Linked DNA regions of Canis lupus familiaris. The protein of the gene in region 3 interacts with the protein of the main gene of each other region in a pairwise test. Links are inferred from orthologs where the notes say so. Each region holds a gene or a part of one and is shown on either strand. Other genes may lie near its edges.

Evidence for each region.
Region 1: the proteins of SGTA (region 3) and SDC4 interact in binary tests that used the Homo sapiens proteins (3 or more experiments, as listed by UniProt). The two-hybrid records come from large-scale screens. The link is inferred for Canis lupus familiaris from reciprocal best matches to the Homo sapiens genes SGTA and SDC4.
Region 2: the proteins of SGTA (region 3) and PLAAT4 interact in binary tests that used the Homo sapiens proteins (3 or more experiments, as listed by UniProt). The two-hybrid records come from large-scale screens. The link is inferred for Canis lupus familiaris from reciprocal best matches to the Homo sapiens genes SGTA and PLAAT4.

What each region holds. Positions count from the first base shown.
Region 1 is NC_049245.1:33,273,409-33,283,559, forward strand, and holds the start of SDC4 (syndecan-4), read right to left. Parts: upstream 6,851-10,151; 5' UTR 6,789-6,850; coding exon 6,717-6,788; intron 1-6,716. UniProt on the Homo sapiens protein: Cell surface proteoglycan which regulates exosome biogenesis in concert with SDCBP and PDCD6IP.
Region 2 is NC_049239.1:53,926,795-53,936,839, reverse strand, and holds PLAAT4 (phospholipase A and acyltransferase 4), read left to right. Parts: upstream 1-3,195; 5' UTR 3,196-3,305; coding exon 3,306-3,314; intron 3,315-5,986; coding exon 5,987-6,095; intron 6,096-6,876; coding exon 6,877-7,145; intron 7,146-8,711; coding exon 8,712-8,810; 3' UTR 8,811-9,002; downstream 9,003-10,045. UniProt on the Homo sapiens protein: Exhibits both phospholipase A1/2 and acyltransferase activities. Shows phospholipase A1 (PLA1) and A2 (PLA2), catalyzing the calcium-independent release of fatty acids from the sn-1 or sn-2 position of glycerophospholipids.
Region 3 is NC_049241.1:56,908,872-56,918,867, forward strand, and holds the start of SGTA (small glutamine-rich tetratricopeptide repeat-containing protein alpha), read left to right. Parts: upstream 1-4,614; coding exon 4,615-4,714; intron 4,715-5,155; coding exon 5,156-5,262; intron 5,263-5,532; coding exon 5,533-5,617; intron 5,618-6,569; coding exon 6,570-6,669; intron 6,670-7,813; coding exon 7,814-7,918; intron 7,919-8,942; coding exon 8,943-9,081; intron 9,082-9,607; coding exon 9,608-9,670; intron 9,671-9,996. UniProt on the Homo sapiens protein: Co-chaperone that binds misfolded and hydrophobic patches-containing client proteins in the cytosol. Mediates their targeting to the endoplasmic reticulum but also regulates their sorting to the proteasome when targeting fails.

The sequences.
Region 1 (10,151 bases), on a different chromosome or scaffold from region 3:
GGTTCTCAAAGAGACAAGCCTCCCTCTGTCTCGGGCCTGGTAACCAAGCTGGGCACTGCTCCGATTACCGCTGGAGACAGCCAGGAGGGGGCTGGCTCCCTGAGGGCCGCAGAGACAGAGGTGCATTGAAGCTCGGGCTTGTAATCTAGGCAGCAGATCCCAAGTCCCTGCTGGATCTAAGGGCAGGCCGTAAACAAGCCTCCCGTGTTCTCAAGAGCAGAGCCGATAGCCTTGTCTTGGCTGATTAGATCAGCCCTGGGTGCTGGCTTCCTGCCCCTTCCCAGCATCCCTCCCACACGTGGGGAAGCCACGGCTCCAGCCCGGGTCAGTCTGTCCCATAGACCTCTCCCAGCCGGTCTTCCCCCGGGGAAGGAGTGTCCCTGCTCCCTGTGACCGGCCACGGGTCATCCCTGCCCCCATGCCCTGAGGTCCGAGTGGTACAGCCAGTCCTGCAGGCCTGGCCGCCACCAGCAGGCTCCACCAAGTCACTGTTTCCACACATACCAGCCTCTCCCTGCCTCCCCTTTCCATTACCCCAGGTGTCACCTGACCAGCCACAGCCTCCTCTACTGTGCCAGAGAAAACTGGGGCAGCAGAGCTCCCGCCCGGCCTGAGGGGGGAGGAGGGACGGGCCAGGGAGAGGAGAGGCAGCTTAAAGGGGGTGCTGAGTAGGAGGGACTGGCCAGAGGGTGAGGGTGGTGAGTAACTGGGAGCCCAGAGGTGGTGACAAGAAGCAGGGATAGGTAGGCAGGATTGTAGAAGGCCAAAGCTGGGAAGAACTGTTGAAATCACAGAGTATCTCCTGGGGACTCCGGGAGCCCTCTAGAAAGGATAAAAAGTTCTAAACCCCAAGAAGTGGAACTATCGGTTTACGTTTTCAGCATGCACACAGCTACCACCCCCCTGAAGCCAATATCTGGGCAGGTTAAGAACCCTTGTGTAGCTGCTAAGAATAAACTAAGATGGGACCAGCACTTTACCAGTTTGCCAAACACAGACTATGACCCTTGAATGACACAGGTGTTTTACAGAGAATGCACTGGTAAAGTGACTTATTAACTAACTGCGTGTTCCTGGGTGAGCAGCAGAGCTGAGGTGGTGACTCAGGCTTGTCTGGCTGGGAACTTACCCACTTCTAGTCACCCTGCCTCCAGCAAACAGGGCCAAAGGGCCTGGCCAGGTGCAGGGACGTGCCTGAAGGTCACTAGTGCATTAATAACTAACTAGCCCAAGAAGTCAGGCTTCCAGTACTTCTAGGGTTAAATCAGGCCCCAACTGTTGACACAGGCCTTCCCCTCCCTCTGTGGGTGCTTTACACTGAAAACTGGCTTTTCAGACACTGTGTACCTTCCTGTCCACCATCACACCCCCTCTCCAAGGCCAGAGAGCTGCTTGCAATTCACTCAGCCTCCGTAGGACTAGAAACTCTGTCCTCCAACGCAGGAGGGCGACCCTGTTCTGTGTGGTGTCCAGGTGGTACAATACCCTTAGCAAGCCCCCCATCACCCTCCAGGACACAAGCTGCCCAGCAAGGGGTTCCTACAGATCCCAGCAGGAGGGGTGGGGCTGCCGAGAACTGGTTCTTGTTTAAATATAAACCCATCTGATAATTAGCAAACAGTCCACTTCTAAAACAAACAAACAGTAGATTTGAACTCCATCCGCCCCACCCTGGACTCCTCCCTTTCCACCTTGCAGCTGTTGGGGGGAGGGAAGAGAGTGTTCCAGGGGGACTCGGAGTAGGATCTTCAATGGTACAGAACCAGCTGGCATCACTATCACTAAGAATGCAGCCTTCCTCCCAGGCACACACTGGGAACTTTACTGCAGGCTTGTCACCTCCTCCCAGCCTCCCCACAATGCCCAGGAAGCAGAGGCTGGGGGGCTGGGTGACATGCCCACAGCCATGTAGCTAGTTAGAGGTAGACTTCACACCTCTGCAAGTTAGGTCTGCCTAAGTCCCAAACCAATGTTCCACTGCTCTCCAGCCAGTTCCAGGAAGCAAGGAGAGGGCATCAGAAAAATCAGAGACTCCTGGGGTTCAACCATATCTGGACTGTACCAGCTTGACTCTGGGGGCTCAGAGCAGGGGCAGCTTCAGTTCTGCTTTAAGGGAAACAAAGCAACACCTGCTCTGCCCAGGCCCAAAGACCAATTCTGAAGACTGGCTGAATTCGCACCCTGTCAAAGCCCACCCACAGACAAGGCACTGAGAAGGTCTGGCGTCTAGTGCTGGCATTCCCTGTACACCCCCTCAAGGTCCAGGACGCTGAGATACTATCTCTAATAGGGTCTCAGAGGACATGGTAAAACTCTATAGAGCCCATTCCAACACCCCCACCAGAATCATCCTTCGGGCCAAGAGGTTGAAAGGAAATGGGTGACTCAGGCCAGCCACGGCTCTCCTCCAGTGACTCACAGGCCCTGTCCAGCCCCTTCCCCCAATTTTCAATGGTCATTTGGAAATCACACCCACCAATCCAGGAGGCTGAGAACAACTAGAAGCCAATTCCTCCCTAGAGGGAACTGGGGCGGGAAGCCCAGCCTGGCTCTCCCAGCTCCTCATTCAAGACGGCCCAGCACTCCAAGTCCTTGGAAATGCCCTCTGTTTCCAGGAGCTGGGGATGGCAGGAGCTGAATGTCTCCACCTCCCTGTACCCCACCCCCCAACTTGTCCTCTTGTTTAGAATCTTTACCAAAGGGGCCAAGAAAGCTCCCCTCCCCGCCATTGATGTGTTTTCAGGGCAGGCAGGATCCACGGAGGGGTTTAGTTCAAGGTGGGCTTATTATAGAGTTGGGGACACTGAGACCCAGAGATAGGGTACATTTACTCAAGGTCACCCTGCAGGTCAAAAGCAGAACTCAAAGTATCTGCCTTCAAAACCAGCCGATTTCCTCATCTGGAATGTCCTCTCAGGGTGCTCAAACCAGACACCTTGTATTATCAGAGAGACCTAGTCCTGACCTTGGCAAGCCACTATCTTCCCCTGAGCATCAGTTTCCTGTAAAAATGTAGATAATAGGGACGCCTGGGTGGCTCAGCGGTTGAGCACCTGCCTTGGGCTCAGGGTGTGATCCCAGGATTCTGGGATTGATAATCAAGTCAGCATCAGGCTCCCTGCGAGGAGCCTGCTTCTCCTTCTGCCTCTGCCTCTATGTCTCTGCCTCTCTCTAGGTCTCTCAGGAATAAATAAATAAAATCTTTAAAAAATAAACACGTAGAAAATAAAATCTACTTCACGGTATCCCTGGAAGACGTTCAGATTAGTGATAATAATCTCAACGCACCTTTTAGAATGAAGCTACATGCGAGTTTATTCATTCGTACAAACATTTCCTGAGGACTAACTGAGGAACAAGTATTTCACTGAAGATGAATAGAGCAGAAATTCCCCCCTCCCCTGCCCCAGGGGATGTGTGTGGGTGGAAGTGGTATGTGTGGTCGGGTTGGGGGATGGGGAGTGGGCATACGACTCAGATTTTGGTGGGATATATTTACTAATTCTCTCACAAACTAAGTCTCTTCAAGGGAGGCAATGCCTTAGATGTCGGGGGTTTCTACAATCTCTTCCAAAGAATAGGTATTTATTCATAGAATACTTGAGCCGAGAAGGGCTCTCAAGGTCATTTGTTTCAAACCGCATTTTACAGATGGGGTAATGTCAACCCCACAGAACCCTCTAAACCACGGCCCCAAATATCTTCCGTGGTGGTTCTCTGTGGCTTCTAAGAATTCCAAAGAGCTCTCACTGGCCACTCATGGGGTCCCAGACCCCCTATGCTCCTGCCCTATCCAACCTCAGTGCATTCAAGGAAAGAATTCTCAAGGAGACCAGAAACCTCTCTAAGCTAAAGTACACCTCCCCAGAACCCACGGGGCCTGGTGCCACATCAGGAGGCTGTGCCCCTGGGCGGCAACACTTCTGGGGGGGTCCAGCTCCCAAAACAAGGCTGTCTTTAATTGGCTAGGGAAGGAGTGGCAGGAAGGCAGTCAGGTAGACAGGAAGAACTGGTTTGGGATAGCAAGCCCTGCCAGGGAAGAGACTGGTTGCTCAGACTGGGTTCCCTTCCCAAAACTTCACCAAGCCCTCGTGGTGGGGATAGGATACCACCCAAGGGGAAGGCAGGCCTTTGGCTTACACCCAAAACTTGGGAAGGGCCTCACTAGCACTACTGGAGGGGGACCCTCAGATCCTTCATCCGGAAAGTGGGTATGATATAATCCCCACATGCTGGGCTTTCTGTGAGGATAAGACGCACCAGACCGGGCACCGGACCCGGCATGTGGAAAGCACCCCACAAATCATAACTGCCATTAGCTAATCCCTTCTCCAGTGGGCCTGTTTCCTCCACCTGTAAAAATCTACCCAACTATGACTAGGCCTGATTTTTCCGGCCACAATCCTGGCAGTAAGGGGACAGGGGAGGCAAAAGGGGAAGCCCTGTAACCCAATTCGAGGTGGAAGGTCTGTGACATACCTCAGGAAGGGGAGTGCTGAGGTCAGGATGAGGGAGACCAATACCTCTCTCCGGAAGCAGCTGCTCAAGGGCCAGCTTCTCCCTAGCTGATGATGGGTCACCATGTGTAGGGCTGACACAGCTGCCCTCCCCCAAACCATATCCTTCCGACTGCCCCCAGGACACAGCTGTCTGCTCCTCACCCTGAAGCACCTGCAGACTCAGCAGCCCCTCACCCGGGACTGCCATGTGACTCCCATGCAGTGATCTCCTAACCTCCTGGGGCTTTCTATTTCCCCCCACGCTACCCACAGGAGCCAACATGCATTCCTTTGGATGTCTCCCCAGCTGCTTGACTCCAACACATCTCTCAGGGTCTAGTTTAGAGCACTGCACCAGGGAGCAGCGGGTGTGAGCTGGAGTCCTGGCTCAGACATTAACTTTTCCATAAGGTTGCCCATAGTTTGGGGAAGTCGTCACCTCACCCTGGGCCCGTTTCCTTCTACCTCAGAATTTCTTGAGGCTGGCCAGCCCCAAATCTCAACAGATTCTAAACTCTTGAGTTACCTGAGGATGGGACACAAGGGCAGCCCCTCAGAAAGCATCAGACCACAGCTTATCATAAGAGCAGGAACTTGGGAGCCTGGCTGGCTAAATTTGAATGCCTCAGCCCCATATTAAGCTGTGTGGCCTTGGATAAATTAGCTAACCTCCTCAACCTCAGGACCAATTTAAGGTAAACAGCCGGGCTGTCAGAATTAAATCTAGTTGATAGGCCATTAGTTAGAACAGCCGTTAGAAAGCTATCAGAGGGATCCCTGGGTGGCGCAGCGGTTTGGCGCCTGCCTTTGGCCCAGGGCGCGATCCTGGAGACCCGGGATCGAATCCCACATCGGGCTCCCGGTGCATGGAGCCTGCTTCTCCCTCTGCCTGTGTCTCTGCCTCTCTCTCTCTAGCTGTGTCTCTATGAATAAATAAATAAAATCTTTAAAAAAAAAAAAAAAAAAGAAAGCTATCAGAACACCATAAGGCACACCATAATGTTTGCTATCATCACTGCTTGCCTTCAATTGTGCTGGCAGGTTATTCTCAGGGTCTCATGCATTCCTCAACAGAAGCCAGCCAGGCAGAAAGGACTTTCCTCCAAGCAAGCGCAGAGAAAAAGGAGCCCCATGAGGAATCCACAATGATAAAACTCCACAGACTTCCTCTAAAAGGGGAGGTGGGCTTAAGGCATGAAGGGGGCACAGGGCTGGGGTTCTTGGGGGGACAGATAGCCTCTCCCATCAATTCCTGCTCCCCCAACTTCCCAGATGGGGAAGCCACCCTCTTCCCCTGATGGTCGCTGGGATGAATGGAGCTTCTGGTGGCCTAGGGCTTTGTAAACTAGGACAGAGACCAGCGGGCGAGTGAGAAGAGCTTCTCGGTGCTCACTGTAGCCTTCCCTCCCCCAACCCCCTTTACTCCACTCCAGGTGGGTACTCCGATTTCCCGAGCGAGCGAGCGCAGTTCAGCAGAAATAAACAGAATTCTCGCAGAAAGCAGAGGTTCAACTCTTGGTGAAACGCTGGGCCCAGACCACCCCTCCCCGTCCGCCCTAGAAGGATCAGAGTCTCAACTTTGGAGGGACCCTAAAGAAGCACTGGTCATCTCCTGCTGCGCTCGCCCAGCCCCTGGGCAGATAGGGAAACTGACACTCAGAAGGGGGGCAGGGCCTTGCCCTGTCACCAGCCAGGGGTAGTGCTGGGGCCGGACCTGTGGTCAGGGCTCAGCTCCTCACTCCCGGGTGTGTGATACAGGCCCCGCACAAGCGTCCCCCTCCCCCTTCCGAGCACACGCCAGCCCCCTCGTCCCCAGGCCCAGTCGGATTCTAGAGCAGCCGCTGCGGGCGCTCACGGACGGCGAGCAGGGGGGTCCGCGACTCAGAGCCTGCCCCGGGGTCACCAGGGAAGGGCGCCAGTGTGGGGGGAGAAGAGGTGACACCGGCTTAGTCACGTCCGAGCCTGGAGCGCGCGGCGGGGCCGAGGCCAGGGGAGGCGGGAAGAGCAACAGGCTGGGGCGCACGTTCGCGCGGGGGAGCCGCCCCGGCCCGGAGCCTCCCCGTCACCCCGGAGCCAAGTTTCCAGCAAAGTTTCCCCAGCCCCGGCGTCTAGTTGGAGGCGGCGCGGCCCCCTGAGCGCCCCCCCCCATCTCAGGCCCCCAGGAACAAAGGAGGCAGCGGGCCGCCCCCGTCCCCCCCCGGATGCCCCGGCACCTACCGACTCCGCGGTGGCGGCGGGGGTGCCCACGACCAGCAGCAGCAGCAGCGCGAGCAGGCGGGCGGAGGCCATGGTACCGCGGTCCGCAGAGGGCGCGCAGGCGAGTGGCCCCGGCGGGCGTGCGGCCCCTCTTATAGGCGGTGACCGGCCCCGCCCCGGCCCCGCCCCGCCCCGCCGCCGCACCCCGCCCGGAATTCCCCGGCGAAAGCTGGGCCTCGGGGCGCTCCGGCCGCCCACGCGGCTGGAAACCCCGAGGGACCCGCCTGGCGCGCAGCCGCCCGCTCCAGATCCACCCCGAGTCCCTGTCCCATTTACTCTTTTGATGTCCTCCCAGGCAGGCCCCCGGAGATCCCTGCGTCTAACCTCGTTTTATACCTGGGGAAACTGAGGCCACGGACTCGCCCAGGGTCTTCCCTGGAGGCCGGCGCTCCCCAAACCCGCTACACTCCCCCCCCCCCCCCCCAGGGTACGGAACACATTCCAAATGGGACGTGAACGTGCATAGGCTTGAGGGGTCAGCAAACTTTCCCTGTAAAGAGCTAAATAGTTCAATCTTTGCGGGCCATTCGGTGTCTTGTCATACTTAAACTCCAGCTTCGTAGCTCGAAAGCAGCCACAAATACTTAAAAAAGAAAGAACGCGGCTGTGTTCTAATGAAACACTATTTATGGAACACTGAAATTTGTATTTCGTATAATTTTTAGGTGTCACGAAATATCCTTGTTTTGATTTTCTCCCTATTTAAAAATGTGCAAGCCATTTTTTAGCAGCAGGCTGAACAAAAACCAAGGGTACCCCCATCAGGGTAGACTTTTTGGTCTTACGATGGCTGACCTCTGTTTTAAGGGATTTCTTTTTCCAGGTTTTGAACTTCAGAAAAAGTTCCGTCTCTCAGAACTAGTCTGCGAGTCTATCCCAGATCTGCTCCCACCCTTTGTAAAAGAAAGTTGAGTTGGCCTTACCACTACACCCCCCCCCCCCCAAGCTGTAGGGAAGGGTTGGAGGTGGAAATCCTCTGGGGGTCTCCAGGTACAGATACTGTTAGAATTACTAGGAGGAAGCATCATATCAAAATTAATCAAAGTACCAAAGGTGACTAGACTGGTTTCTCACCCTGATTGATTTCTGTGTGTATCCTTCTAAGGCAGAGGTACGGCTTCATAACCAGGGTATTTTGGCCTCTGTCGGCAAACTGAATTCATATACTTTGCAGAGTAGAGAGTTGGGAGTGATTTCTCCTCTTCCCTCAATTATTAGCAAAAGGATGGAAAACCTCACGCTGGAGAGATCCTTGACTGTAAAGCAAGCTTCAAATGTGGATCCTATTTTTCCCCAGGGATTTAAAGGTAAGCAATTTTTTCCCCAATTTTTTTCGCCATACCCTTCCCTCGGATTGAGAAATATACTGAGAAAATGAGTGGATTTCACGTCAGTAAGATATTCTTTCGCAAGTCAGATGGTTTTTGCAATCTTTGCTTTCCACACAGTCCCAGGAGGGCCTAATATAGTTGTTAGTACATAGATCATTAAAATAATTTTTGATGATAGGTCACTATGCGTTTTTGGTTATCTGTCAACACATCGCTATAACAAAACTCCTTTTATTCCCACCAACTTCTTACAGCCAGTGGTGTGCTGATAAATGTTTAACAATAGGTTGGGGGAAGCAGGAAGTGCTAATTTGTACCATTTGTCAATTTCTGTGGTATAAATACTCCCACCTGATTTCAAATTCCCAGTGTGATGTCATTGAACACAGAGTTGGTTAGAGATGAGCAGTATTTCTACCACACATAGTGCAAAATAATAGGCGCAAATAATATCAAGACCATGGATAACAATAAGATCTAATGAAATAACTAGGAAGTCATGAGTCTTGAGTACAAAGTGTTTCCTTTGTTTCTAATATAGTTTATTTAATTATAAGTTTATATAATTTAATTTTTAGTAATGGCCATGTTCCCTAAAGTGCCTAGCCTCTGTGGGTGCCTAAATCACCCACAACAATTGAACCAGTACAATCTGACTCTGGCACCCACTGCTTGACAGCTATAAAAATTAAAAGTAGAAATAAAATTATTGCTAAAGTCTGTCTCATTCTTGCACAAGCAATATCCCTCCAGAGCCATGTGGACGAATGGAGAAGGAAACATTACTCAGTTTTACTTTTTTTGTTTAATAATTATTTATCAAAATTTGTAGAACTGGTTTCACCAGTGTATACATATGTCAAATTGCACACTTTAAATATATGTAGTTCATTTTATTTCAGTTTTATCTCCAAAACACCATTAAAAATGCTTTTAGGACTTCAAAAAACTGTAATATATTTAAACTGCTTTGATCAATTGTGTTTTTATGGGGATACCTGGGTGGCTCAGTGGTTGGGCGTTTGCCTTCGCCTCAGGGCGTGATCCCTGCTTCCTGGGATCCAGTCCCACATTGGGCTCCTTGCATGGAGCCTGCTTCTCCTTCCTCAGCCTGTGTCTCTGCCTCTCTCTCTGTGTCTCTCATGAATAAATAAAATCTTTTTAAAAAGATTGTGTTTTCATGATAATTGTAATGATAGAGAATTTGAATACCTAGTCGTAAGGTCGTGGAAGGTAAAATAATGATTCAATTTATGTAATTTTTTTAGGCAGAAAAGTATGATAGTGCTATCAATAAGCTATTTAAGCATTTAAGAATAATATTATTGGTTAGGTGCCTGGCTGGCTCAGTCTGTAGAGCATTCAACTTTTAATCTCAGGATCATGAGTTCAAGCTCCCTATGCTAGAGGGGTGAAAAAAAAAATTATGGTAAAATGTTTATGTGCTGAAACATGGAGTGGAAATTTGAGTTTGAATAGAAAAAAGAATGATGTGAAATTTCCATTAGAGAAGAGCCTATTCATGATTGATTGATTGATTGATTGATTTTAGTAATCTCTACACCCAAAATGGGGCTCAGACTCAGGACCCAGAGATCAAGGGTTGCATGCTCTACCCACCAAGCCAGCCAGGCACCCCCATTCATGTATTTTTTAAATGGATGGTTGTAGGTATCAAATTGTAGGTATTTAATTCAACTGTATATAATGAAAAGAATGCTATAAACATCTATTTTTGAGTGTATGAATTTATAATACATCAGAAATTGCAACCTTTGCAACTATTTAAACTCTTTATGAAAAAGGATTAGCAGTCAACTAAAAAAAGTGCCAGAAATACATAGTTGTTCAATGATCATTTGGAAAGCAGACTGACAAAAAGATTAAATACTACCAGGTTAGACACCAGAAGCTCTTCTATAAGAGAGCTTTCTATAAAAAAGCTATCTTATAGATAAAGCTATCCCAAGCTCCTGAAATGAAGGAATTAATTTCCCCTTCTCTGTGTTCTGAGAATCTCTCCGAAGGCATGAAACACGTTTGAATGTGGTTATTTGTAGATTTG
Region 2 (10,045 bases), on a different chromosome or scaffold from region 3:
CTGATTTCCAGCATAAGGGACAGGAAAGTAGAAACTGAATGTGGATTATTTTGCTCTGCCAGAATGTAAATGTTATAGGTTGAATCTGTCCCCACAGAATTCATGTGTTGTAGCCCAACCTCTAGCACCGCACAATATATTTGGAGATAGGGTATTTAAGGGGTAATTAAATTAAAATGAGATCATATGTGTGAGTCCTAACCCAACTGGTGTCCTTATAAGAAGAGATTAGGACATAGACACACACAGAGGGGAGATCATATGAAGACTCGGGAAGAAAGCAGCCACCTACAAGCCAAGGGCAGAAGCCTCAGAAGAAACAGACCCTGCTGGCACCTGGACTTGAACCTCTCGCCCCCAGAATCATGAGAAAATAAAATATTCTTACTTAAGCCAGCTAGTCTGTGTTATTTGCCGCGGCAGGCCTAGCAAACTCTATGTTCAAAATATATCAAGAATCAAATCACTTCTTGCTACTTGGTTGTCCGAAATACAACCAGCTGCTCTTGGTTGCTCCCACTTGTACTCCAAAGCCATTCTCAATACAGGAATTAGAGGTAGTCTAGGAATCAGCACAAGTCATGTCACTGTCATGCTCCACCCGCCAGTGGATTCCACTTAATTCAGAACAAAAATCAACACCCTACGCCATGTAGATAGGGCTCGGGTTACCCTTGGCTGTTTTCTCCTGCGACTCAATTCCCAGATCCAGAAACCTTGGCAGACATGTGCAGCCACAGGGCCTTTGCAATGGCTGCTCCGTTCACTTCCTGCCTCCTTGAGTGCGTTGCTCAAAAGTCACTTGTCCAGTGAAGCTGTTCCTTCCTACATAGGAGACCTAAAATTAAAATTGCACCTCCCATCATCTCTATCCCCTTTCTATTCTCCATTTTTCTCAGCATTTGACCATCTAACATAATATCTACCTTATGATACTTCTGTCCATCTCTCCAACAAGAAAGTATGATCCACAGTGGCATAGATTTTTATCAGTGTTGTTCACTGATGGATGTCTGACTTCCTACTGCAGTGCTTGGCACGTGGTAGGACCTCAGTGGGTACCTGGTGGCTACAGGTTTAAGATGAGGTTGCACCATGTGCTGAGCATCGCACGAGTAAGTTATCTCAGTGTTAGACTTCAAGATGACCGCTTGCCCTTGCTCCCTGAGAGAGCAGCCCCAACCTCAACGACCAGCACCACCTCCCTTTTCCCCCAGATGCCTTCCCTCACCTACTCTCCAGTTGTCATGGGAGGTTATGTTCTGATGTCTTACCACCTCGAATGGGAAAGGCCCTAGCAGTATCCATGGCAAAATGAGGTATATATGTGCTTCTCAACTAAGGAGAAAGGGCCTGGGATTGAAAGAAGACATACATGTCACAGGAAGATAAAAAAGTAAATGTTGGGGCACCTGGGTGGCTCAGTGGTTGAGCATCTGCTTTTAGCTCAGGGCGTGATCCCGGGATCCTAGGATCGAATGCCCCCTTGGGGTGTCCACAGGGAGCCTGCCTCTCCCTCTGCCTATGTCTCTGCCTTTGTGTGTGTGTGTGTGTGTGTGTGTGTGTGTGTGTGTGTGTCTCATAAATGAATATATAAAATCTTAAAAGAAAAAAAAAGAAAGAAAAGAAAAAGTAAATATCTGGTAAACAAATTTCCTGGACTACCTAGTGACAGTGGTACATAAAGGACTTTGATCCCACAGACCTTAACTGGGTTCCTCCCTATTTACCATAACTAGTTCATAATACAGTGTGGTTATGTAGGTGGTAGTTATCTTCCTAGAGCAGAACTCCTAATCAATTCTTTTAGGCATTTGTGAGAGAAGTAAAGAACCAAGGGAGACGGCCTCCAGGGGCTGTAAAGCTCTAGTAGGACTAGCTCCATCTTGATTTAATTTTGCCCTGAATATTTCTCCCTCCCTTGTCATTCCACAGTAGACCTGTTTGAACGCTGTAAGCCTGTTGGGGAACTAGCTGACCTTATAGGTTTTGTTTTTTTTAAATTTTTAAATTTCATTTTTAAAAAAGATTTTATTTATTTATTCATGAGAAGAGACACAGAGAAACATAGGCAGAGGGAGCAGCAGTCTCCCTGTGTGGTGCCCTGTGCAGGACTCGATCCCAGGACCCAAGGATCACGACCTGAGCCAAAGGCAGGCACTCAACCACTGAGCCACCCAGGTGGCCCTGTCCTTAGGTTTCATAGGAATCCTCAATTAAGGCAGAACACATTGCACAAACAAACTAATGATCATATTCTTGCACATCACCCCATAAGCACATGATAAGCTAGTAATCAATTCTGCTTAAAATTTCTCAGGAGGGCAGCCCCAGTGGCTCAGCGGTTTAGTGCCACCTTCAGTCCAGAGCGTAATCCTAAAGATCCGGGATCGAGTCCCATGTCGGGCTCCCTGCATGGAGCCTGCTCCTCCCTCTCCTTGGCGTCTCTGGCTGTCTGTGTGTGTGTGTGTGTGTGTCTCTCATTAATAAATAAAATCTTTAAAAAAAAATCTCTCAGGAAACTTGAAGAACCTGACGCTCGATCACTGAAGACATGTGGTGGATTACTCTAGCCCTCGTGGCACTGTAGCTGGTTTCTTTTTTCATTCCTGTTCCCCTTTAAAAGCCCTTCCTGCAGGGAGATGGGACAGTGGTGTTTTAGGACATGAGTCCACCGTCTTCTCAGTGAGCGGGCTTTCTCGAATAAAATCGCTTTCCTTGTCCCAACTCTTTGTCTCCCTCATCATATTGGCCTGTCGTGCAACGAGCGGGTGGGACCCAGGTTCAATCACAAGCCACAGCAATTCTATGTTTTGAGGTAGGTAATCACAGACCTTCCATTTAGAGTGACTGTTCAGTCTCCCTTTAAAAACTGTTTCTCGGGATCCCTGGGTGGCTCATCGGTTTAGTGCCTGCTTTTGGGCCAGGGCGTGATCCTGGAGTCCTGGAATCGGGTCCCACGTCGGGCTCCCTGCATGGAGCCTGCTTCTCCCTCTGCCTGTGTCTCTGCCTCTCTCTCTGTCTCTCATGAGTAAATAAATAAAAAATCTTTAAAAACAAACAAACAAACAAAACTGTTTCTGTGGTGCCTGGGTGGCTCAGTTGGTTAAGCATCTGAGTGTTGGCCTCAGATCAGGTCTTGGTCTCAGGATCCTGAGTTTGAGCCTGGTGCTGGGCTCCACCCTGGGCCTAATGCTTACTTTACTAAGAAAAGTAGCTTTACATAGCATCGAAAAGGAAAGTGAAAGCAAAACTTTCAACTTCAATAAAAGTTGGTGCACAAGCAGCACACAGCAGACAGCACCATGACTGAGGTAAGTGTCCCTGACTTTCTACCTAGGGCTCTCCAGGGGTGGGGGGGCCCCTTCCTATAAAGGCCTCAGTCTGGGTTCCTGGCCTTGGGCACAGTTAACTCCAAAGTTTGGAAAAGCTTCAGAAGGAGGTTCTGGAAGACTCTTTGTAGTTTAAAAGTCCCTCTTTAAAAGCCCCTGCTGGGCTGTGAGGGCTTTGGGTCCAGGGAGCCTCCTCGCTCCATCTGGCTCAGCCGGGGCCCAAGGGCCTCCGGGGGTAGGAGCTGTGGTGGCAGGGGGCTCTGTCTCCTGAGCTGGGAAGCATCTGGGGCGTGGGTGAAGGGCGGGGGGTCCCAGGACTTGGGAGGTGAGTGGATCCCCGCTGGGCCTGGCTCCCTGGCTCCAGATGGACTTCGGCGCCTGCTCAGCTCTGTCCTCCTCTCCCTCTTGCTCCATGGCACTTGGCCTGCCCTGTGAAGTCGGCTTGAATTTCAGCTTTCTGACGCGGACTCCCTTCCTGACCTCTATGGTGTCCAGATTCCCACACAGCCCAGGCAGGCCTAGGCAGGGCTCGGTGGCGGGCGTACAGCTGAAGGGGAACAAGTAGAATTCAGGCAATTCAGGGCAATGAGATCATTCCAGAAGGAGCGGCCTTTGTTGCCTGGGCAACCATCTCCTTATCCAGGCACGGCCCAAGTTCACATTGGATCTGCTGGCAGCTCCTATGCGCGTGGTGTCTGGGCTTGACCTTATCACAGGTGGAATCCAGAGTGCAAAACCCCCTTTTGATTCCAGCGTGGAGGCCACCCTTGGACCAGCCGTGCCCTGGCTGAGAGAGGGGAGGCCCTGGCCCTGGGTCCCAGCCCTGCTGGTCCTCCAGCCTCTCTTCCATGGAGATTCCCTTGGCCCCCATTCTAGGCCAGGCCCTCACTGGTTCCCAGAGAGGAAGGAGGCAAGGGGCACCACACAGGATCCCGCCCCACTGGAGCTCCAAACCCAGAAGAGGTGCAGGCAGGCAGGGAAAGTCCCGGCACAACATGATCTGTGCAGAGGGGGTGGCTGCCCCAGGACCTGGGGACCCAGAGAGGGCAGCTGAGCCAGGCGGGCCTGATGGCAGCTTCTCAGAGAGGACTTTCTGGTGTGGATGAGAAGAGGAAGGGAGCGGGTGGGGAAGGGGACTGGGGGCAGAGACAGCCAGGTGTGCAGGGGAGCAGAGGCAGGAGCCAGCTGTGTGGTGAGAAGGGCAAGCCTGGCAGCCTGTGGAGCAGAGGGCAGGGAGGGTGAGGAGGGCCTGTGAGTGGCCCACAGAGCAGGCCCCATGCCCTGAGGCCAGATGTGCTCTGTGGGAAAGCCACGGTGGGTCCTGGGGAGACCAGATGTGGGGGAGAAGGGACAGGAGGCCAGGATAGGAGTGGGGCCTATGGTCAAGAGGCCTTAGGGTCAGGACACCTTGCTGGCTAAGTCAGAAAAACATGTGACCCTTGATCTCAGGGTCATGAGTTCAAGCCTCACATTGGGTATGGAGATTACTAGAATAAAGTAAAAAAAAAAAAAAAAAAAAAACACAGGAAAAAGAGGGTGAGGGTCTCAGAGACAGGGTTGGGGGCTGCCCTGAAACGAATCACAGTGTGAGAGATGTTTGAGGAGGAGAATTAAGGAGAAACTCCTGGATTCTACATTGGTGGATGGATATTGGCACAAAGAAGAGGGCCGGGGTACACAGGCCCCAGGTCTCCCATGAGGTGGCCTGCAATCAGAGATAGAGGGTTGTGGGCTGAGAGCTGGCTCAGAAAGGGAAGAAATTGAAACATTCTCAAAGCAGAAGCCATGGCAGCCTGGGGGGGAGGGCACAAGCCCTCCATGTGCGTGCTGTGACCGTCCCCATGGGTCCAGATGCTAGCTGGCCCCACAGAGTCTCAGGTTTCCTTAGGATGCTGTCAGCTCCTGCCTCTCAGGTTGCCATCTCCGAGGGTGGGTGTCTTGAGGCTGGCGGGGACAGAGTCCAGGGAGGAACAGGTGCCTGTGTGGCCATGGACAACCAGGGCCAAGAGGTGGGATGAGGACCTGAATGTCAGTCTGAGAAGAGGAGAGAAGGTGGTGACTCCCCTGCCCGACTGCTGACGATGGGTTCGGGGCTCCCAATCTCAGTGAAGGGGTTTTCATGCAGGGAGTCACGTCAACACTCTCAGGAGCAGCCGTGCAATGAACCTGAACGTGCACATTCACATCCTCCTCGGTGTGCCTATGAGTATCCACAACACGCACACACACACACACACAGACACACACACACACAATATGCAACACACACAGATATGCATGTAATCAGAACACAACACACATAGAACACACATGCACAACACGTACATATATATTCATGTGTGCTACTGCACTGCAGCCCATACCACATGTACACAAGCACATACATACATGATAATGTGGGCACACTGAACAAATCCCCACTCTCCTATTCCACAAGGTCCTTTTATCCAGACTTCAGCCCCCAGTTTGGGGAAGCTCTAAAAGTGACAGAAGGCTGAGGACCTCACAGAGGCCAGGAGTTCCCTCCCACTCCAGGCTCTCATCAGGTGATGAACATCAGCAAGGGGGTCCCCAGGCCAAGCTGCAGGGTCCCAGGAGGGCTCTCAACTGTTACCTAGAGGCTTCCTACACCATCTTGGGTTTTTCTGTTGCAGTTTCATCAAGAACCCAGGCCTGGAGACCTGATTGAGATTTTCCGCATTGGCTATGAGCACTGGGCCATCTATGTGGGAGGCGGTTATGTGATCCATCTGACTCCCCCAAGTAAGAGCTGTTGGAAATATAATTTTTCAAAATATTTGTTACCAGATTGAGAATAATTGGAGGAAAGAGCTGAGCAAGGGAAACCAGAGTTGGTTTCTCCCTGAGCAATGCTTGAGCAGATCCTATATCCATATCCCACTGCGTAATTGAGTGGGATCCCATAGATCCAGGGGCAGGGAAGTCAAACAGAATGCCCATTCCACGGACAGGAAGGGAATGAGAAGCCTTTGATTGCTGGGATCCAGCTCATGGGTCACTGGAGGTCACATCTTCAAGATGAAACCCCCAACACCCATATTTTGATTACCCAAATGGACATAATATGTACCTCGAAAGTTAAAAGGTGATGAAGTAATACATGGAAAGTAGCAGTGTGTGAAACACAGTCAATAGTAAAATAAATTTGTTCTCTTCGCGAAATGTATAAGCGCACAAAAATGAACAAATAGTAAATGTTTGACTATCACTGGTCATAATGGCAAAAATTTTAAAGACCTAAGTGTTCAATAATAGGGCTTGGTCAAATAAACGATCTATATTCATGTGACGAAATTACAATGACATTGCCATAAGCAATCATGACATTCACTGACTTGAAAAAGTATTCACAGCTTGTTAAATAAAGATCTAGGAATCCTCCAATCACCTATGTGAAAAGACAAACAGTGACACTCCAGCAGTGTCCTCCTTGCTCCTCTTTTTCATCCTGCCTCTCTTCTCTCCCTGTCTCACCTTCCCCTGCAACCCACCCCCATGACCATGACCATATCTCTGACTCCAGGTGAGTACCCTGGGGCCGGCTCCAGCAGCGTCTTCTCTGTGCTGAGCAACAGAGCCGTGGTGAGACGGGACCGCCTGCAGGATGTGGTGGGGAACTGCCGCTATAGGGTCAACAATCACTTGGACCACAAATACACACCAAGGCCTGTGAATGAGATCATCTACTCTGCAAAGCAGAAGATTGGTCAGGAGATGCCATACAGTCTTCTGAGCAGAAACTGTGAGCATTTTGTCACCAACCTGAGATATGGTGAACCCCACAGCAGGCAGGTAAGGCCCTCTGAGGTGATCCCTCTCCCTCCTGAATGTCTCCTGGGGTGTCTAAGCTGGGCAGCGAAAGGGGAGAATCATTATGACCCACATGCTGGAATCAAGATGTCTGAGCTCAAATCTTCAATCAGATTTTGATCCACTGGGGGTCGTTGGACAGGTCACTCCCTCCCTGGGCCTCAGTTTCCCCACGTGTAGGAGGAGGAGTTGAATGGAGGACCTCGGGAGGCCTGCCAGTCTGACCTTCTAGGATCCTGCAGCTTGAATACCCACCCTAAAGGCAGCTCCTAATGCTCCCAAAGCGTGTTGGGAAAAGTCAGGGCCAAGCCAACCGCATAACAGGTCTCCTAAGGCCCCAGAGAGCCCTCAGCCAAGGGATGCTCAAGGTCATGAGCCTGTGTAAGAGCTCAAGGATATATTTATGGAAGATCTGGGGCTCAGCTCCACTCCCACCTCTTCAGTCTTCCATGTGTTGTCCCCAAAATGCACAGCTAGTTATTGGCAGAGGCAGGATTCCAACCCCAGCTGTCCTTCTCTAGAGTCTGCTCCTTACCGCTGTACAGCAGCAGGCCTAATAATTTAAAGTATCGCATCACTACTGCTCCTAGTTGGGCCATTTATTTAAGAACTCATAAAGAGCACCTCTGTGCTTGGCAGAGCTGGGTGCGGGGGATGCAGTGAGGAACAAGACAAGTGACACAGGTGAGGTCCTTGCTCTTCCCGGAGTCACAGTAGTGACCTAGTTTGGGAGCAGTTCCTGGGCCACCTCACACTTGCTTCAAGGGCTCCCCAATGGCCAGACAGGATGTCAGCCATCCGGGCTTCATCTCCTCGTCCATTCCACTACTATCCCCAGGGACTTGTGTTCTTTAAATACTTGCAGGGCTCCAGGCCCAGGTGATTGGGTGGACAGAGGCTTCTGGATGAGATGAGGGTGAGGATGGGAGGACCAGGCTTGCGGAGGGAAACCAAGAATTTGGAGGTAGTTGGTGATGGGTGGCCTTTAGACCTCCAGGTGACGATGGTGAGTAGCAGTTGGACCTAGGAGTCTGGAGTTGAGAGAGGAGCTGGGGCTGGAGGTAGACGTTTCCATGCTGCAGTTCACAGTGCATAATGAAGTCAAAGTATGCTCCCTTGGCCATGGTGTCCAGAGGTCTCTCCTCAGCTTCTGCCAATCCCCCTCCCTCCCTGGGGGTGTAGCCTAGACAGCAGAGCAGTTCCCAGGTTCAGGAGAGAGCTCTGTTCTCCTAGGAAACCAAGCACAAACCCTCTTCCTTCCCCAGTCTGAGTCAGGAACTAATGAGGTCACCCAGCAAACTCACACAAAAGGATCCCATCAGCCCAGACAAGCCCACCACTAAGAGGTCTTCACCACTAAGAGAATATAGGTCTCCCTGGAAATGGGGCCACGAGGACTCAGCAAGTATCTTCCCTGGGAGAGAACTCTGGGCTGGCAGCTCAGGGGGAAGGAGAATCGGGTGTGGCCTCCAGGCCCTTGGAAGAGAGGGAGAATCTGCCTGTACTTGCTGTGTGTGTGAATGCTGACCGTGGGTTACTCACTTTCAGGTGACAAATGTCCTGATTGGAGGAGGGGCAACCCTGGGAATTGGCTTCATTGCTGTTCTTGGATACTCTCTTTTAAAGCGGCGATCCCAAAACCAGTGACAGCCTGAAGGAGCCACAAATCCTGCATCTGGGCACATCAATGGAGACACCTCACGGCTCTTCTGTCTGCTGGACCCTTGCCCTCAGGCAACCTTGGTTCTGTTTCTCCCCTTCCCTCACTCACTGGCTGAAGGATGGGCTAATTGTATCAAAACCAAAGAATCAATCAGTAAGTGTATCTTAAGAAAGGAATTCCAGGGATCCCTGGGTGGCGCAGCGGTTTGGCGCCTGCCTTTGGCCCAGGGCGCGATCCTGGAGACCCGGGATCGAATCCCACATCGGGCTCCCGGTGCATGGAGCCTGCTTCTCCCTCTGTCTGTGTCTCTGCCTCTCTCTCTCTCTGCGACTATCATAAATAAATAAAAATTAAAAAAAAAAAAGAAAGAAAGGAATTCCATTATATTTTTATAGATTATGAGCAAACAAGGAAGAAAGGAACATTAATTCGGCACCTGTTGGGTTCTCTCAGCAATTTCTAGCTGAGTGACCTTGGGAAGAGCTCTTGACTCTCAGAGCTTGGGTCCCACCTTCTGTGGGATTGGGGTAATGATCCATTTTTCAGTGATGTCATCACTGAGGATTCAGTACGGTCATGTGGAGAGGACACTCCGTGATGTCTGGTGCCTAGCTGGTATCTGATGGGTTGTCTACATCTGTCCACCTAGACTAGCCATTGCTGTCTAGGTAAATTCCTTTTACTATTGGGGTGCCTAAAAACCAAACTCAACAACTGAATTTTGTCCCTCTGTAGCCACAACACCTGGTGCTTGAACCCCTGACCCCACATGTACATTTCCCAACATCTTCCCAAGGACCCCCTTCACTCAGTCCTCCTTTTAGCTTTCTTTGTCAACTCCAAGTCTGGTCCTCATCCTCTGTGAGTACCAGATGGAAATATATTGACTTTCCATGCCTAAATTGCATGGCTTGAAGTTCCCCCTAGTTTGCTGAAAATTAACCACCTCAATTTTGGGGCAGTGAAACTACTCTGTATGAGACTATAATGATGCATAGGCCCCATCACACATTTGTCCAGACCCACAGAATGTACAATGCTGAGAGTGGACCCAAACAGAAACTGTGAACTTTGGGGGATAATGACATGTCCACGTGGGGTCATCAGTTGTAACAACAGTGGATGTTCTGCTGAGGGATGTAGGTAGTGGGGGAGGCTGTGCATGGAGTGAGCACAGGGTGTCCAGGAACTCTCTGTACCTTCTTCTCAACTCTGCTGT
Region 3 (9,996 bases):
CAGCTCTGGGCAAGGAAAGAAAAGGAGTAGAGGCTGATGTTTTTCTTCTTCTTTTTATTTTTTCTAATGATGAAATGAAAAGATGGACTGAGCACTGGGAGGGATTGTGAAGACCACCGGAGGAGCTGGCCCCAGGACCCCCACGCCACCCTCACCAGGCTCGCCGGGCACCCTGTGCGGCCGGCACCTCCGTGGTGCTTTCTGAGAGCTCATAAAGCACTCACTGTTCAGAGAGTAGGCCTTCTCTGAGAATTTTGTCCAGCAGCCAAAGCCCTACAAGTTGTGATTGTTCCGAAAGGTCCGGGTGCCTGGTAGGAGTCAAGGAAAACTGCCGTCCTCGTATTTTGTTGGGCCCAACTTTGTGGAGAGCAGAGGTGGTTCATCTCGGAAGCCGGGCGTGAAAGTGAGATTCGCAAACTGTCTTGCAAAGAAGCCACAGTTTTTATGGACCACCTGTGTCAAATGCTGTGCTGGGTCCCTCTTGTGCCTTGGGTTAGCAGTCCTCGGCAGTGGAGCCAGGCTCCCTCTGCTGCAGGGCTGAAACCCCAAATGTTGTGCAAACAAGGTTTTCAGAAAGTTCTTTGGTCAGAAAAATTTGACTTGTACTGATTTAGAACCTTTACTTTTCCACCTAGAGTTTCAGTGACTTTTAGCTGGGTGGTTTGGCCATGTCTGGGGACACCTGTGGTTGTTACCCCTGGTGGGGGGACCCTTCTGGCTTGGAAAGGGTGTGGCCAGGGGTGCTACTGACCCACCACAGAGAGTGACCTGCCCCTAATGTCAGAAGGGCGCAGGGGGACACAGCCTACGTTGATTATTTGGAAAAACATTGAGTCTGACCCCTGCTCATGCTGGACACCAGAGTTTAAACCCCCAGGGGTCAGAGGATACAAACCAGGCGACTGCAGCATCTGTGAGTCGCCCCCACTCGGAGTGTGTAGTTAAGTGTGTGCGGCATCCCGGGACCTCAGGGGTCAGATGGTCACAGAGAGCAGTCTCCCGGGGGTCGGGAACCCCCTGACCGAGGTGGTCCCACCTGGGGGACATTCTGCTCCCTGCCTCAGGGCACACTGGACAAAGACCAGGGTTGCTGTTAGCACTCTGCACTGCACAGGACAGCTCCACCCCCGCCCCTCACACACACAGAGCAAGGAATGATCCAGGCCCTGATGGCGATGGAGCCAAGGCAGAGAAAAATCTAAAGTAGGTCATGAATCCTTGTAACAGCTGGTAAGGACACCCCTGTTACCCCGTTTTAGAGAAGAGGAAAGTGAGAGTATTGGCTGGGACTCTTAGAAGGGACGGAGAGCTCAGGCCTGGGGGAAGGGGCGTGGAACAGGCCTCAGGCAGAAATGGCTGGACCTGAGAGTCTCTCCAGGCCCTCGTCCTCCAGCCTGTCATCCTTGTGCCCGCCCCGGGCAGGCCCTGGGGGGCTCTGACTCCTTGGCTGTGAGTCACAGGGAGGGGCCGGGGCGGCAGAGAGGAGCCGCCAGGGTGGCAGGCAGTGCGGGGGAAGCTCAGGAAGCTCAGGAAGCGGGCAGTGAGGGAGTGATCAGGCCAGAGTGCTTCGATCCCGCGGGGCGGGGGACCCTCGGGGGGGGGGGGGGGACCCTCGGTGCAGAGGCCTTGAGGCTCCAAGGGCTGGGGGCGTGGGAGGGCAGAAAGGAGTGTGCCTTGGTCTTCTAGTTTTTTAAACCCTTGCCTCAGCAGTCTCCGTCACGCTCCCCCGCTCCCACCTTCACCACCTTCACCACCCGGACCAGGAGGGCAGGAAACTTCTGCCAAAGACGAGACTCCTTTCTCGGTCCGCTCTTCTGCGAGCGCCCCTCACCACCAGGCCCTGCAGTAGCTCCCCTCGTCCCACGCACCCGTACGTGTGCGCATGGCCCAGCGTGGGGGACCCACGGGAGGGGAAGGCCCGGAGCACACAGGCGGGGCTCCGGCTGTGCCACCTGTCGGGCCCTGTGACCCCCGCCAAGACCCTGAACACCTCCGTCTGGTTTGTACCGCGGTGCTTTCGGGCTGGGGAGTTGGCGGACGTGAGGGCTAGGTGGTGAACGCGTGGGTTTGTGGGGGCCGAGATCGGGGGTATCGTGTGAGCACTTAACGTGACTTAAGAATGTGAGATTCAGGGGGTGCCCTGGGTGGCTCAGCGGTTGAGCGTCTACCTTTGGCTCAGGGCGTGATCCGGGAGTCGGGGATCAAGTCCCGCATAGGGCTCCTGCGGGGGGCCTGTTTCTCCCTCTGCCTGTGTCTCTGCTTCTCTCCCTTTGCGTATCTCATGAATAAATAAGTAAAATATTTTTTAAAAAATCGAGATTCAGTCTCCGCAGGCAGCTGCCCAGACGTGACCCTCAAGGCCTGACTTAGAGCACAACATACAGGGTCCCGGGATTGTACATCTGACAGGAAGCACTTGGGCTCTGGGAAAAAGAAATAACTTTCTAATTGTAATAAAATACACGTAACGTAATGTACCATCTTAACCACCTCTAAGCGCACAGCTCAGGGCACGGAGCACACTCAACCCCGCTGTGCACCACCCCCACCACCGTCTCCAGAACCTTCCATCTCCCTACACGGAGACCCTGTCCCCAGGAAGCACTGACCCCTGCCCCACCCCTGGCTCCCACCACCTCCTCTCTGTGGACGGGCCTCCTCTGGGGACCTCCTGGGAGTAGGGTCCTGCAGGAGGTGTCCTTCTGGGTCTGGGTCCCCTCCCAGCACGGTGTCCTCGGGGTCCCTTCCTTCCTGGGGCTGGGTTGTGTCCCGGGTGTGGACGGGCTGCCCTGTGCTAACCCATGCGTGTGTTGACAGACACTGAGTTGTGTCTACTTTTCAGCTCTTGGAGATGATGTCGCTGCCAAAACAAACATCTAAAATGAAAACAGCTTGACGTTTCAGCGCGTGTCTGGTCTCCTTGGGTTTGGCGGTCAGCAGGCCGACTGGTGTGCTCTTGTACCCCCTCAGCTGGGGAGCAGGACTCACTTTTGGTGCTGTGCTTCCCCCAAAATGAGTGGGTTGTGATGGTTGATCTCTGTGGGCCCCCCGGTAGCCCCCAGGGACCTCTGGTCTGGGACCGCCTATTGTCATCTAGGCTCCGGCTCCACCTAATCACAGACCTTCCAGCTGTAGGCGGCTTTCTGGCCAAAGACGCATGTGTCCAGAAATGGGGAGCTCATTACCATCTTCAAGGAGCTTTAATTCCTCCCCCTGCTTACGGAACATGGGTTTGTTTTTTTTTTTTTAAGTTTTTCCTTTATAATTGAGGTATAAATCGTTTACCTTAAAGTATGGTGGTTTTTGGTATATTTACGCTTCTCTGAGTCCAGAACATTCCATCACCCCAAAAAGAAACTGTCTCCATAGCCTTCACCCCCATCCCCCCCGGCCCCCACGAGCCCCCTCCCCGTCCTGGACGTGTCACACACGTGGGCTCACACCCCGTGGGGCCTCCTGTGTCTGGTTCCTCCACTTGAAGAAGCAGCTGTCAAGGGACACAGATTCCCACGAAGCAGAGACCGAGCAGACGCGCCCAGTGGAGGCACCGTCTCGGTGTGGCGCTGGCCTGCGTGGGGAGCCTGGGGCCACATGACGGGCTCTCCCCGGCTTTGTTGAACCATCGTGGCTGGTAACAAGCTAACAAGAGTGCCAGCAGGAGCCCCGCTCCTTGTTTTCTGTGGGGGCACGGGCTGCTCACCCCCCTGCAGGCGTTTTGGGGAGACCGAGGTGCTGACTGCTGTGGGTTCCTTGGGCCGGCCGCTCCTCACAGGCCACGGTCCCCAACCTGTTGCTTTTGTCGGTGGGAGCGACCAGGGAGGTCGTGGTGTGGAGGGGATGACACAGTGTTGCGTGACGTGCCTGACCCATCATAGACCCTTAGGTAGCAGAACCCTCTTGCCCAGAATGTTCCAGACCAGGGCTCTCCCCTGGGCATGGCTGACACTGGAACTGATAGTTTTCCATTATGTGGGCGTCCTGGGAGCCGGGGGCTGAGCAACATCCCAGGTCCTCGTGGCCCAATGCCAGGAGCACCCCCATCGTGGTGACCACGGATGTCCCCAGACATGGCCCAGAGTCCCTGAGGCAGGGTCACTCCCGGCCTGGGAGTCCAGCACTTGGAGAGGGACCAAGAGCTGGCCTTCAGGCGGCCTGGAAGGGGCTCCGTGCCCCTGCACCTTTCGGGCTACTCTGGGCCCCTCCCCTCCCAGCTGTTTACCCCTCACTTACTCTTCAGATAGAGCTGGCCAGGCGAGGCGTCTGGGGGCTCAGGATGTGAAGTGTCTGCCTTTGGCTCGGGTCACCTGGGTCATGACCCCAGAGTCGGGGCGGGGGGGACGTCGGCTGCAGCCCCCTGCTTGTGCTCTTGTGCCCTCGTGTGTTTATGCTCTTTCTCTGTCAAATAAATAAAATCTTTAGAAAAGACCTGCCCAGGGCACTTAAAGTGGCTTCCTTGGGCCTGGGGCTCGTGCAGGCCTGGTGAGCCAGCACCCGGAGGTCCGGGGAGCCTGGAGCAGCAGGTGCCACCCGTGCCCTCGGTCTGTGCTCCTCACGGCCCTGGCTTGGCTCCACAGATCTTGAAAACCCCAGGGCATTGTCTCTTCCTGTTTGAAGATGGATAACAAGAAGCGTCTGGCCTACGCCATCATCCGGTTCCTGCACGACCAGCTCCGGCACGGGGGGCTCTCGTCCGACGCCCAGGAGAGCTTGGAAGGTACGTGTGGGCCCGCTGTCCTCCCTGCTTCCCGCCACACAGCCAGCCCCGTCACCTCAGGCCCAGCTTCCTGCAGGAGTTCTGGTGAGCTCCCCATATTTCATCAAGGTGTGGTTCCAGAACATTCTCCACCGTAGTCACACTGATCAGAGAAGAAAGGCTCATTTTAAAGAAAGGGTGGAATGGCCACAGCGCCTGGGAGCCGCACAGGGCTGGGGGACAGGATCCCAGGCTGGACCGGCACTTGAGTGGCCTCTGCCCGGACCCCGCCACCAGCCCCTTGGCGTCCACCTGGCTCGGCCTACAGTGACACAGTGGGAGTTGGCGGTTCGGCACCTGCCATGTGCCAGGCCTTTGACCTGGGTCTCACAGAGAGGGGACTCCCCAGAGCCCCAGAGTCTGGGCTGCATTCAGAAGAACATGCTTCTGTCCACCTCACAGTTGCAATCCAGTGCCTGGAGACTGCTTTTGGGGTGACAGTGGAAGACCATGACCTCGCCCTCCCTCAGACTCTGCCGGAAATATTTGAAGCAGCTGCTGCAGGCAAGGTGAGTTTCTGGGCTTCACAGGATAGGCGTAACAGCAGGAGTCGCCAGGGCCCCCAAGCACCCATGCAAGACCTGAGTTCTCCCCCAGGCTGCTTCCCGGCTGTGGACCAGGGAAGTGGGGGCCCGGCCCCGGCCTGAGGTGCTCTCCACAGTGCCTAGCTGCCCTCGGGTGGCCCCTGAGCAGGAGGGAGGCCGCGGGTGTGGGCTTTTTGGAGGAGGAGACGGTAGGGTTGCCCTCTGCCTGCAAACGACTTGTCTGCCTTGGGACAGGAGGTGCCGCAGGACCTGAGGAGCCCCGAGCGGACCCCGCCTTCAGAGGAGGACTCAGCCGAGGCAGAGCGCCTCAAAACCGAAGGTGAGCTGAGACTGCATCCCCACCAGGCACCTGACCCACCTGGCCTGCGGGGCGGCAGGGCCGGGGGGGCCCTGGGGTGCAGCTGTGGGAGGGGAGCCGGGCCCCTAAGCACGCAGCGCCAGCATGTGGGAGGATAAGCCCCGCGCTCGGCCCGCGGGGATGTATGCGGGGCAGCCGCCAGGGAAGGCATTCCCCGCAGCTCCCCGGTGGCCACACGGCGGGCACGTGGCCCAGCCAGTCCCCTCCCACACCCAGGACAAGTGCAGGCGTGTGTCCACAGCACCCAAAAGGTAGAACGGCCCAAATGTCCATAAACTGGTAAAGGGTGAACAAAACGTGATGTATCCATGTTCTGGAATGTCCCTTAGCCCACATGTACCACCCCAGGGACGGACCCTGAGCCCACGACGCTCAGGGAGGGAACCAGATACAGGAGGCCCCACAGGGTGTGAGTCCATGTGTGTGACACAGCCAGGACGGGCTCGCCCACGCACAGGGGAGGGGGCTCAGGGGCCAGGGGAGGGTGAGGAGTGACTGCTCATGGGGAGGGACTTTTTTGCGGGGGGAATGGAACGTTCTGGAATTAGGTTGTGGCGTTGGACACTTGTGAATTTCTAAAAGCCGCTGAGTCATTCACTTTGAAAACGTGAGTTTTACATTCAGATTACATTTCGTGAAAATTGGTTTCTTGTGAAAGAAGGAGCAAAGAGACTTATGTTTCCAAATGTCACGACCAAAGCAGTGACGGTCATCACCCAGTGCCGGCTCAGGCCAGAACCCAGATCCTCCTCCACACCCCAGCACCCCTGAGTGTTGCATCCTGGCCCCCCGGACCCTCCTCCCCAACGTCTTGCACCTTCAGGGAGAAGCCCGGGAGAGCTGGGCTGGACGTCTCGGCCCCTGGGATGTGACGTGAACAGCTGGGCATACGTTGTTTTTTCTTTCCCTTTAGGAAACGAGCAGATGAAGGTAGAAAACTTTGAAGCTGCCGTGCACTTCTATGGGAAAGCCATCGAGCTGAACCCGGCCAACGCCGTCTACTTCTGTAACAGGTAGCGGCTGGGCGCGCTCGGGGAGGTGTTGACACTGTAATCATTCATCCAGCGCCCAGATAAGCAGCCAGCAGCCTGTGGCCAGCAAGGCGTCAACAGGAGCTGATCGTGGCATTAAAATCAAAGTTAGGGACACCATTCTGCACAGGTGTTGGGTGAGGACGCAAGCCAAACCACGGGTGACCATATCGCGCCTGCGCTCACGGTGGCATTACTGCTGGCCATGGGGAGCCCCGTGTGGCTGGTGCTTTAAGGGAAAGTTGCCTCAGCCTCCCAGAGCCTCCCAGTACGGACCGCCGAGCTGACGACAGGGCCTGAGAGGGAGGTGGGACAAGGGTCGCCCTCCAGGGCACAAGCCAGGGCCCCGGCGTTGGATAGCCCAGGTCGGGTGCGCAGAGCTGCTCTTGTCTTAGTTTCTTTCCTCTGACTCTGGGGCGAAACACAAACACACTGACAGAAAAGTTGCACGCGTAGCACAGAGAACGCCGTCCACCCTCCACTCGCACAGCGCCCAGCGCTGAGTACTGCTCAGCCCTGCTGCCTTTCTGGGGGAAACGTAAAGTGGGATGTTAAAAACTGAAAGAGAAACCATCTGGCGTGGTAAGCTGAGTGCTGGGACGGGTCTCCCTGTGAATCCGAGTCCCTGTCTGATGGCAGGTGTTCCCTGGGGGTGCCTGGGCCGCTCAGGCAGTGTGGTGTCTGCCTTTGGCTCAGGGCGTGATCCCAGGGCCCTGGGATCAAGTCCAACGTTGGGCTCCTGGCTTAGCAGGGAGTCTGCTGCTTCCTCTCCCTCCCCTCCCCCTGCTCCTTCTCTTTGTCTCTCAAATCTTAAAAAAAAAAAGTAATAGATGTTCCCTAACGTAAAGCAAGCACCGGCTCCCAACGGTGGGGAGACCCTGGGTGCCGAGCCCGTTGACTTGGGTTCAGACTGGTCTCGTCACACCTGGGTGCTCTGCAGCGTCATCAGGACGAGCTGCCTCCATCTCCCCAGGAGGCTATCCCAGCTCCCACCACGGGTACTTGGCGGACAGAAGCCCTGGGCAGCCCAGTGTCCCGCCGCCCACCTGCCAGATGGGGAGACTGAGGCTCCTCCATGGCAGCGAGTGAGGGCCGCAGCTTTGCCCACCCTGCTTTGTGTCCCCAGAGCTGCGGCCTACAGCAAGCTCGGGAACTACACGGGTGCCGTTCAGGACTGCGAGCGAGCCATCTGCATAGACCCGTCCTACAGCAAAGCCTACGGCAGGATGGGGTGAGTGTCGCGAGGGGCCACACGGTCCCTGCCTTCCTGGTCCCCCCTCCCCTGCAGACAGCCCATGCCCCTTTCCTATTTGGGCTGCTTTCCACACGCCCAGCTCCGTCACCAGCTGACCTCCAGCAGTTCCCTTCCGTCTAGATGGACGGTCAGGACTTGGCCCCACGCGGATGCCAGTCATAAAGCTGGGCCTCCCCCGCGCCCCCCAACTGCTCTGAATCAGGGTTCCCACTTCCCTGTGTCTTGTGCTTCCGTGATGTGCTGGAGCAGCTCACGGCCTCAGGGCAGGGTCCAGGAAGGTCCTCGGCGCAGATCCCTGTCTCCCTAGAGTGGGGTGTGATGCTGTCACCAAAGGGGACGTCCACATGTCATCGTTCAGGAGTCTTACAGCCCGCTCTCCAGCCTTCTCCCCTCCCAGAGGTTTGGGGTTGCCAGGTCCCCACTCAAATCCCAGCCTTGGTCTTCCTGGCCACCAGCCCCATCCTGAGTCACCTCACGGACAGGAACTCGGGTGTAATCAAAGGGGCTCATTATAGAAACCACAGGAGGGATCCCTGGGTGGCGCAGCGGTTTGGCACCTGCCTTTGGCCCAGGGCGCGATCCTGGAGACCCGGGATCGAATCCCACGTCAGGCTCCCGGTGCATGGAGCCTGCTTCTCCCTCTGCCTATGTCTCTGCCTCTCTCTCTCTCTCTGTGTGTGACTATCATAAATAAATAAAAAAAAAATAAACTAGAGGTATTAAATTTAAAAAAAAAAAAATTTAGAAACCACAGGAGACCTCTGTGACTTAGGAAGTTTTGCGTCTTAGGAGCTCTGTGCCGAGAACAGGGCCAGCGTGTCTGACCCCCTGCCCTCTGCCTCTGAGCCCTTCCTCTGGGCCTTCCAGCCCATCCTCTCAGCCCCCGCCACCCTGGCGTGCCGTCCCTGGCAGACGCTAGGCCCGGTGGCGCTGGAGCAGTTGGGGCGTGGCGGGTGGGCAGCCCCCGGGCCCTCTCCCATGTCCTGGTGTCTCCCCCCAGCCTTGCTCTCTCCAGTTTGAACAAGCACACCGAGGCCGTGGCATACTACAAGAAGGCCTTGGAGCTGGATCCTGAGAACGAGACTTACAAGTCAAACCTCAAGATAGCCGAGCTGAAGCTGAGAGAGACGCCGAGTCCCGTGAGCGGCCCGGGAGGGAGCAGGGGAGCGTGGGCCGGCGCCTTTGTTGTGGTGTCTGTGGGGAGGGGCGGGTGAGGCCGGGGATGTGGGGTTAGGACAGGCCAGGCGAGCAGTCTCTGCAGAGTCTGGGGCACGGGGTCCGACTGGCTGTCGAGTACCTGGCTCTGGGCGGTCAGGGCAGAGGGCGGCGGCTGTGAGCATGAGATGCTGATGGAGGAAGGCTGGGTGTGTGGGCTGTGGACTCACTGGCCTGCGTGCTAAAGGTGGACTGGTGGTGTCCGGCGTTGGTCACCCCTGAGGCCCTCCAGGGGCCCAAGGCATCAGAGCGTTACAAAATACTTCTCCTAAGGGATCAACGGGGTGGCCTGGGCCTTTGGCAAACACTAGCCGCAAGGCCTGGCCGCTCAGTTGGGAGGGCGTCTGGGCCGTATGCGTCTTGGGACTCCAGCCGGCCCCCTGTGGGATCTTCTGGGGCCCAGTGTCATGGTCCTGTGGCCACTCACCAGGGCTCTTCTCATCCCCACAGACGGGAGGCGTCGGCAGCTTTGACATCGCCGGCCTGCTCAACAACCCCAGCTTCATGAGCATGGTAACCTGCGCTCCCATCTCCCGCGGGCTCTGGGCCCACCACCCGGGGCTGTGTCTGCCTGTGAGGGCCGGGGCTGCCGGCCTGGGCGGGGTTGGACACTGGGCCCGGCCGTTCCTTAGGGTTGTGACCGGGGCATCTGAGGGGCTGAGCAGCATCCCCAACCCCACCCTCTCGACGCCAGGAGCTCCCCCCGTGTGACCACCACCTAGGTCCCCAGACACTGCCATGCCCCGGGGGCAGCACTGAGCACGAAGGACAGCTGGATCCTGCCTCTCCCCACCCAATAACCCGGGAAACCGCATCCGTCTCTCCAGCTCGGTCTCCTC